Oryzias latipes: one gene and its partner. The protein of the gene in region 1 interacts with the protein of each later gene in a pairwise test. Links are inferred from orthologs where the notes say so. Each region holds a gene or a part of one and is shown on either strand. Other genes may lie near its edges.

What was found. The genes of interacting proteins can lie anywhere in the genome.
Region 2: the proteins of dcx (region 1) and zinc finger and BTB domain-containing protein 5-like interact in binary tests that used the Homo sapiens proteins (3 or more experiments, as listed by UniProt). The two-hybrid records come from large-scale screens. The link is inferred for Oryzias latipes from reciprocal best matches to the Homo sapiens genes DCX and ZBTB5.

Annotation. Positions count from the first base shown.
Region 1 is NC_019872.2:14,739,502-14,744,133, reverse strand, and holds part of dcx (neuronal migration protein doublecortin), read left to right. Parts: intron 1-1,303; coding exon 1,304-1,393; intron 1,394-3,613; coding exon 3,614-3,711; intron 3,712-3,796; coding exon 3,797-3,853; 3' UTR 3,854-4,632. UniProt on the Homo sapiens protein: Microtubule-associated protein required for initial steps of neuronal dispersion and cortex lamination during cerebral cortex development. May act by competing with the putative neuronal protein kinase DCLK1 in binding to a target protein.
Region 2 is NC_019859.2:12,632,091-12,637,318, forward strand, and holds the start of zinc finger and BTB domain-containing protein 5-like, read left to right. Parts: upstream 1-1,898; 5' UTR 1,899-2,438; intron 2,439-3,241; exon of another isoform or gene 3,242-3,244; 5' UTR 3,245-3,248; coding exon 3,249-3,458; intron 3,459-3,527; coding exon 3,528-4,358; intron 4,359-4,513; coding exon 4,514-5,228. Other genes in the region: polr1e (DNA-directed RNA polymerase I subunit RPA49), read right to left, coding at 1-12, 128-238, 362-506, 581-636, 719-804, 896-972, 1,256-1,359, 1,561-1,639 and 1 more. UniProt on the Homo sapiens protein: May be involved in transcriptional regulation.

The DNA of each region.
Region 1 (4,632 bases):
AGGCTTGTCTGTCTCAAAAGTGGGGAAAAAATATACCGCAAAGATATTAATATTCAGAGCAGAGTCAGAACAAAAAAGAGCCACGTGGGAGGGAGCCTGACAAATGGTGAGAGGAATATTGTGAAGGGAGTGTTATCAGCAGTCAGCAGTGGGTTGGAAAAAAGCAGGAAAACGGAGCTTTAATCTGTCTACTGACAGGTTTAGGCCAGCTGATATGTTGCAGCTGATACTGCTGAGAAGTCGAGGAAAGAAACGGTGAAATCTGCTCCCTGAATGTGTGCTCTCAGCAGACCTGAAAAGCCTATTTTTAATAACCTACTTCCACCTGAAGCCCTCTTCTTCTTCTCCTGCAGCATCTTTTCCAGATCCTTAAATTTGGCCACATCGTAGAGTCAGGCCTGTTTCCAGCTATTGTCTTTGCCATGGAAATTCTCTGCCTTTTTTTTAACCTTTTAATGATTTCCGTTCTACATGTATCCTTGGGGGATTCAAGCTGAAAGATTTGATGTAGTCTGTAATGACATCTGGGCCATTTCCACTTTAAATGGTGCATCCTGACATCAGAGTCTGCCTCAATAAAGCTGAGATGCCCCTGTCTGCAGTGCATCATAATGGCTTTTTATTTCAACTGTGTTCCACAACACTTTTCAGCTGAGATCAATCTAAGTTCTCTGGAGGAAAAAAAAAAAGATTTCTTAATGCAAAATGTTTGTGTGTAAAGTTGGAGAAGATCATCGTCAAATGTTGCCTTAAAATTAGACTAATCTGAGAGAAGGCACACGTGAAACCGGCTCCTCGTTGCAGTCATGGTTTCTGCTACAGACTAGAGAACCTGAGAGTCTGGACTATTTTGAGCCTGCGGAGTTGATCAGAGAGGCTGCCAGTCTGCAGGAGTGATGGTGGCACACCTCCCAAACAATGGCAAAGAAATGCAGTTGTATGTGGTGGTGTCTGTGAAGGTTAAGAGGAAGAAGATGAATGTGGTGAGATCCCAGGAGATGGAAGGAGGACAGACAGTATAATTAGCATCAAAAGAGGAAGAGGAGGGAGGGGGAGGGAAACTGCCTGACAGTACAAACGCAGAGGAAGCTTTTGGAGAGGTGCAGCAGTGTCTGGAGTATGTCTACTAATATGAAAAACACTGCTCCAGAATATAATGGGATTATAGTACAAAATAGAATTGCATATGAAGCTTTGCTTCACCATCTGACTGATGGATGCATTTCTAATCAGAAACAGAAGTGTTTGCAGCTTGTTTTTCCAGTTTGAAAATAAAGATCTTTTTTTGACTTTGTTTTGACAGAATGCCGGGTGATGAAAGGACCCAAAACCCCACGTGGTTCAGTGAAGAGTCCGGGTCTCATCAAACGCAGCAAGTCACCCACTGAATCCAGTGAGTCTATTATCTTGAGCACAGTGAATACTGACATTAAGACTGCTTTTTAAAAATAAAAATAAAAGGAAAAAAAATAAAAGGATGCCGATAACAATGGGGCACAATACATAGTGAACAGAACATTAGATATGAAAGTAGAGGGATGGAGCTCACCTTTGACCTTTGTCTAAGGGGGATGGTGAGGATTGGGGGATTATTCCTATTCAATAATGAATGAAAATAGATGACTGACTTGGTTAAAGATCCGCTCCATTGAAAATTCTTAACATGTTTTTGTGGCTTTTTTTTGATGGACATGTATAAAGAAAATAAAGGTCAAATTTGCATATCTGAGTATTTCTTTATTAAATCGTGGTGCATCTCGAGCAGATTAAAAAATGCCGTCTGAAGAAGCGTGTAGTTGTGACAAAGAAATTACAAATGGCAGGCCACAAGCTCCCTGCTCCGCTTTATTGTGATGGATCCACTTGTAGACGTCATGTACCTCCATGTGGCTCCAATATTGCTCGCCATTTTTGTTGCTGTGCCAGTTGTCCACCCACAACTCATAGGTGTTTTTTTTTTTTTTTTAATAAACTACTGCTACTATGCAGAAACTATATCCTAATAAACCACATAGAACACTTGACCTTGGGCTAAAAACACCATAGTCAAATGAACACTTGAAACGATTTTACAAAAGATGATTGGAGTGGTTCTTTAATGTCTAGTAAGGACAAATTTTTTGTGTCAGATGACACAATGTTTTCCTGCAATTTTTTTTGGTTTGAAAACCTTTGATAAAATCTCTCCAAAAAGAAATTTGACTGTCTAAAATTCAACATTTTTTATTCCTAAAACAAATTCTTTTACTAAGAATTAAGTCATTTAAAATTCTGCTTTTTTGTGGTTCTTTAATCTGAGTTGTAACGCAGTATGATGTGCCTTTTTACAAAGCTCTATGAATAAAACATAAGTAAACAAAAGCTCCTCTGAGCCATTTGTCAGAGAGGCAGGGGAGTTGAACATGACAATATCCAGAAGGCAGCAGATCATTGAGATTCTGCTGCTAGCTTTAAAGAGCTTTTGCATCTTTTAACAGATTCTACTCGTATCTGGTGGTAGCTTTGTAATTTGCTTTAAGAACAAATAAGCGTAAAGAAACTAGATGGATGTCTACTTAAGGACTGTGGAATTCTATTATTGGAGGTTTGATGAGGGATGATTGACAGTAAACACAGCTTATGGGCATTCAAGATGTCAGCTTTATCTATGAATCTGGAAGCTGAGGGTTCACAAATCTTGATAATGGGGTCACGGCACAGGAAACGTCTCACTTGCCTGGTAATTTTGACAAGTTTTCAATAATTCAAAAACAATTTCCTGACTGTTTCTGATATTACCACTTATCCAATGTTTTTTTTAATATAATTTCTTGCAAAAAGAAAAATTAAATTCGTTTTTTATTTTTATTTTTTTTACTGATTCTTTTACTGATGCATACAATATTTACAGAATCACAAAATGATCCATTCTACATCTATGTTTCTCTCTGAAGCATAACAGTTGCATGTGTTTTGTTTGCCCATTTTGCTCACATGCAGTAGGGAGAAGAGATGTCAGAAAAGGCTGAAGAGTCAGGAACTTTCATGTGCGATGAGGAAAACCTTTTTTTTTGTCTTTCAAGGCTCAGAATGTGATGACTGATCAAAACTCCTGCATGTTTTGTCTTGAAAGCTGCTTATTTTAAACCAACCTAGTTTCTAAAAATCAAGCAGTTTTAGCATTTTTCCTATCCTTGTGTGACTTTTCAGTGACAGTGAGGCGTTTTCCTCTTGTTGTATTCGGTGCCTTTTGGCATAAACGGAGACTCGCCATCTGGTTGCGAGTCTCCAGGCCTCCTTTCATCTTTCATGAACAAAAAGCCTTTTAAAGTGTTTAACTCACACGGCTAAATCACCTCACACTGCTCCAAAATACAAGCACAATGTCCCACACTGAGAGAATCCTAGCAACGAGACGCAACACTAAGTCTGTGAATACAGTGTGCACTGACAAACAGAACTCATCGGTTCAGTAGAGCTGGAGCTCCAGTCTGGCTTTATTTGTTGCCAAGTGAGGCCACAATAAAGGACCGACTCTTCTAAAGGGTTGAATCATCTTATGCATTGTTTAAGATACAAAGCTGACTTCATCTTTTACTCCTTCATCTGTCCTCTCCTGTATTGTCACTTTCAGCCAATGGGACCGGCTCCAGCAGCCAGATCTCCACCCCAATTTCCAAGAACTCCCCCACATCCACCCCAACTAGTCCAGGTCTGAACAACAAGCAGAAGGTACTGGTCCATTTCTCTGTAAACATGGTTATTTCTTAACACAGTCCTGATGCTCAGATCACGGATACCTCTGCTCTGTTTTCAGGATCTCTACCTGCCCTTATCTCTGGAGGATGATGATTCCCTTGGTGAATCCATGTAGACTCTCATCCTACGTTTGGCCTGAAACACTGAATTTTTTTTTCCCCCCTCTGCTGCTTTCAACCTTCCCTCACAGTGCCACTATTGAGGACAACCAGTTTTTGTTTTTTAAGGCCTTAAACACCATTCACTGCTCTGCAAAAATCTCTTTTGATCACATTAAAATCCTCTTTCGATTTCCAGAAAGGTTTTTTGCAGAATAAACAACTTCTTTCTTACTAATGTCACAGTTTAGTCACAGATTTCACTGTAAGTGCCCTTTTTCTTTAAAAACTTTTTAATCATTAAGCACACCAAATTTAGAATTTCACTCCAAATTTCAGGCAGCAAAGTTTTTTGTACAACATTTTTGTGATCATCCTCATATCCTTGTCGCTCTGCCCTAAGGATGACCTTCCCAAAGGACGTTTTTTTGTTTTTTACCCAAAATCTTTCTTACTTGCTGTAAATACGATGTATAGCCATCATACCATGTTTGCTCCGTGTTCATTGCTGTGCTTCCTTAATGTCAGAACATTTGCTCAACTCATCAGAGGGTTTGATTAAATAGAGGTAAAAGCTAAAGGAAGCTTAATGGTAGGAGTAGAATGCAAAACAGAGCCACACTTTTCAGACCAAAATCAGCAATGCCTGTGAGTCCATGTGGTGTGAAAAATTGCATTCAATCGGAAAGAAATCTTTTCTGGCATTTCCTCTATTTTGACGCTCTATGTAGACCGTAGACTACATGTGCTACCAAACCTTCATTAACTATTGTGCATGGATAGTTGATGAATGAAA
Region 2 (5,228 bases), on another chromosome or scaffold:
CTGGACTCAGTACTGTTGAAGTCAAATTAAGGATGGAGAAAAGTGCTGCTTTTGCTCGAACTACATATGCATGTAATTTCCAATATCTGTTCAAATTGGGGGTGGGGGGGTAATGTTAAAAAGATACGCTCTTCAAAGGGGTAGACATCTTCTTTTTTGTCTGCATCTGCATTGCAGGGAGGTAGGTGTAACGACAGGGCTCCTTGAGACTCTGTTTCAGCTACTTCCTGTTGCAGAGCTAACAAGAAAAAAAGGGGGAAAAAAACATGTAGTAAAAAAAAAATGATGGCAAGTCCAGTATGAATTTGAGTTATATTTTCTTGTCTAGATTACTCCAAAAGGCTGAAAGCTTCACGCTTACCTTCCAGACCCTTGTTATCAATCACAGTGCTGGCAGCTTCAGCCACTGCATGATGCAGAGCATCACTGCCCACCTGGTTGAGCCTGCGAGAGCTCAGAGCTCGTTTCTGTTTATTCGTGCCAAAGGCCTCAATCAAGGAGTCAACCTTGAGAAAGAAAAAAAAAACATGACTTCACTGTGTGCTTGTTTGTTTCAAAAGAAAGCTTGTTTTTCTCATACCTTTTCCCTGTAGGACAGAGTGGTGTCCTGAGGCTTTGCATCATGTGTTGCCTCTCCTGGTGGAAATTAACTGGCATTACTAAATTGCCCTCCTTTAAAAATCGCTTGTTATTGTTTTGGGGATTGCATTTCTTTTACCTGGTATGACAGGTTGCATGTTGAATAGCTGAGCGCTGTGTATCTCCATCTGCATGGTTTCTTTATTCAAAACTCCAACATAATATCTGAAAATAATTGCATCACAAAACTCATTCGATAAGGATACGAAAGGTCTATATCAAATGTTAATGTATATAAAATGTAATGATAACAAACCTGCAAAGATTATTGCATTTCATTAAATCTTCTCCAAAATTCTGCCCGACATAAGACAACCTGTCTGATTCAGCAACCTAAATGGAACAGACAACTGTTACATATTTAATGAATGCGAATCTGTCATTTTTGTTTAATTATTATGGTATAATGTACGTGTGTGTGGTTGTAAATATATGGATATGCATCTCTTATAACATTTTTTATTTTACAATCAAAAAATGACAAACCATCTTAAGTTTGATAAACATATGAGTGGATTTGTATTTCTTCTTCAGTGTGATGTTATATTGATTGCTTGAAATATATCAATTCCATGCAAACTATGGTGTGTGCGAGCACGCATGCGCAATTTCTCACCACGATCCGCCTTATCTTTTTCCTCGGATTATTTTCTTCTATGTTCTTGAATGTGGCAAAATCCAGTTCCTCTGCATTGCTGGTGAAACCATTCGAAAATCGGACTGCAAAAAATACAGAGAATGGCGTGTTAATGTTGATTATGTGTGAGAATATTGCCTTGTAACTTTCACGTGTTCTGATTACTCCTGAAAAATGGAATAGTTTTATACACTTGAATGCAACACAGATAACTCAAATACTGACTGTATGCTCGCCTGCTTTAGAGATTATTGTTTCAAAAAGGCTGAGATGAGAATAATTACCTATGATCGCTTTGTCAGACTCCCTTTCCTCCTCGCAGCACACCATCCTGCACGAGGCGGCCATGATTGTTGTTGTGATCTGTGAAAGGAGCGAGAGGACTCACTCATCTGTATTTACGTAAAACGTAACGCTCAGTGAATTTGGTCAATGACGAATTTTTGTCTTTTCTTAAAGCTGTCTAAAAACATTTTTTTTCTAAATACACGTAAATATTATTCACAACACCTGTCTTAATAAAGTAGATATTTAAAACCATTTCGCTCAATAGTTTTCATCCTAGACACTTACGAACGACAGCGACACCCTGTGGTGAATCATTCAAACTGCTGCGCTTTACCTCAACGAGGTCATTTCAATCAAGGTGCAGCAGCGCCACCCTGTGAGTCTGGATGGGGAAAAAAAGCCGTCTGAATAAATGTTCGTATAGATTAAGCAAAACGTGCTGCTTGGTAAGCGCCGGAAACACACCAGATCATCGGTATTATGATATTGTTCTGAAGTTGTATCCTGCTCATCGGTCATCCTAAAGCTAACGACCATCGCAACTCCCTTCTTCTCGACAGTTGAACTACTACGCCGTTCAGACTGTATTGGAGAACTACGAGGAAGTGGCTTAGAGGAGATGTTATGAACACCGCAATGGAAGGGTTAGCCATAGGTAGCTGCACTTGAGGGGACATTTTGTGGGGGAAAGGGTGTCGGCGGAGACGATCTTTTGGGGAGACCTAATGCACCCGCTGGTGCTGCTATATAGCTAGAAGGAGTTGGCTAGCCGCGCGGCTGCTAACGAGACTCACTACTAGCCTCTTCACTTTTTTTCCCTGAATATTTTCTCAATTTTTTTCCTTCGGGGACACACTTTTTGGAAGACTTAAAGGTAATTTGTGCTATTTGACATTTTTAAAATCTAGTATATGTTATTTATTGTTTATAACCCACATGATTGTCCAGTTTAAACTTGCAAGCTATTCTTTAAGGTCTGTTTTGCAGTAACCGAATTCTCTATCATCAAGTTGCGATAAAAAAATATAAAGTTTGGGGAATTTAAAACGACTAATTACCCAAAGTTTTTGAATGTAATAAATGTTACAACACGGTTATCGCATAGTAAGATATTGAATTCTATTTTAGGCCACAGAATTCTATAAAATTAAATCAATTATTCTGAAAAAAAAATTAGCTAGCTTACTTAAATTTCCTTCTTTTGTGTGTGTTATATGTTGAGTCTTTGGAAACGCTTTTAACCAAAGTGACTCACTAGTTTATTACAATCCAAGGCAACGTGAGGTTAAGTGTTTCGCCCAAGGACACTTTTGACTGTGTAGTCTTGGATTTAAACCCCCAATCTACTGACCTTCAAATTCTTTCCTTAGTTATGTCTATGTTAAATAGTCAAAAGGAAGTCAAATGTGTGTGTTTTGCACTGATAATGACATATTGAAGTCAGCCCAAAAAGCCAGAATGTTTCTAAGACTTGTTGTCTTGTTGATTAACTTAACTTCACATTCTGAGTAACTTCACATTCTGAGTGGCTAAACACACCTGATGATCCAGGGAGCAGGGAGAGCTGGGAAACAGTCAAGGTGGTAGATCTGTTGGGCAGCCCCCTGTGAAATCATTGATGTCCACGTCCTTCTCACTTTTGTCTCCTTCTCCTCCTCCTTTGGACTGATTTGTCAGCAGAGCCATGGACTTCCCGGGACACTTTGAGCAGATATTCCAGCAGCTGAACTATCAGCGGCTGCACGGTCAGCTGTGCGACTGCATCATAGTGGTGGGCAGCCGACACTTCAAAGCCCACCGCTCTGTTCTTGCAGCCTGCAGCACCCACTTCAGAGCGCTCTTCACCGTCGCCGAGGGAGATGCTAGCATGAATATGATCCAGCTGGACAGCGAGGTTTGGACCTGAAGCGAGCACTGGCTCTGCTGTGAGTTAATATCATGATAACAAACTGCCTGTTTGCAGGTGGTCACGGCTGAGGCATTTGCTGCCCTGGTGGACATGATGTACACGTCGACGCTGATGCTGGGGGAGAGTAACGTCATGGATATCCTCCTCGCCGCCTCACATTTGCACCTCAACAATGTCGTAAAAGCCTGCAAGCACTACCTAACCACACGCACACTGCCTGTGTCGCCCTCCTCTGAGAGGCCGGCCCATCACCACTCTCAACAGGAGCAGCAAAGGCACAGGCAGCAGCAGGCGGACTTGGGAGGGAACCCAGCTTCAGCGGGTAACACAAGCCTCACAGGAAACGCTGCCACGTCGAAGGTGCAGCGCTCCTTCTTGCTGCAGCAGCTGGGGCTCAGCTTGGTGAGCTCCGCTTTAGGAGGAATGGAGGAAGGCGGCGTGAGCAACAGAGCGGTCGACCAGCGGGCCTCATTCCCAGTCCGTCGATTCCACAAACGAAAGCCGTCTCTAGCGCTGACAATTTCAGAGGAGAGACCCAGACAAAGGCAGCGGACCTCAGGGGGCGCCAACCTAGGTTTGTTGGAGGAAGACGGCGAAAATGCAGATCAGGATGAAGCAGCGCTTCATTCGCCGGACTCCCACAAACCGGGGGATGATTCTAAGCTAGGCGCCGGCATCACAGGGTTTGTAGCTGTGGCTCAAGATGACCCTCAGATGCCGAGTCAGTCAGACAGTGGACGCTCTGAAGGGGAGAACTCGGTGAGGATTCCAGGAGGAGTAAACAAGGAAGAGGACATGGGTGACCAGGATCAGCAGGCCAGCAGAGCCACTGTAAAAATAAAGTCAGGGAACGAGGAAGAGCAGGGGGAAGATGAAGAGCGGAAGGTAAAAAGGATGCACATAAAGTTTTTTTCTTATTAGTTTCCAGTTTTTCCTTTTTGGGGGGGATTTTAATGTTTCTACATAATATTCGTTTTTTTCCTTCGGTAAACAGCTCAACTTTCATCACAGTGGAAACATTTTTTAATTTTTTTTGTCAGGTGGTGGTCAAGCGAGAGGTTCTCAGCTCACCTGAGCCTGTAGACGAAAACAGCGATGTGACGTCCCAGGCTGAAGGCAGCGACCCGGCAGAGCCCGGCTGCCAGGAGGAAGAGGAGAAGGTGGAGCTGAGCCCAGAGGGCAGCGACCGCAGCTTCACCTCCGACCCCCAGCCCAGCTCCGAGTCTCTGCTCCATTCCAGTTCCCAGCTCCTCCTCAAGGGCAGCATGGGAGGAGGAATGGGTGTCACGGGGGGGTTTGGCAGTAACAATGGGCTGAGTAGCAGTTCTAATTTTAATATCTCGAACTTTCTCAGCTCTAAAGACTTCGGGAGAGGTGGGTCAGGGTTGGTTTCTGGAGAGGATGACCTTCCTAACACAACCACCGGGGAGGCAGTTGCTCATCGCTTCCTGATGAGACACGACGCTGCTGGGCCGTCTTCCTCCGCGTCGTCCTCTCTTATTCAGTCGGGCACGCTAAGTGGCGAGAGCAGAAACGGCTTTGGAGACAACCTGCAGCCAGATTCTCTATTCCTGCAGCCTCCTTATGAGAACTTAGGAGGCCTCAGAGGGAGCAGTGGGAGTGCTGGACGTGGAGGAGTGGATCCTTTTGCTCTGGACTTCCAGCGCTCCAGTTTAGGACTTCACTCCCTGGGGCGACCCTCAAGAGGGATGGGAAGTGCTTCCGCTTCCACCCTGAGTTATCCAAGCTACAGAC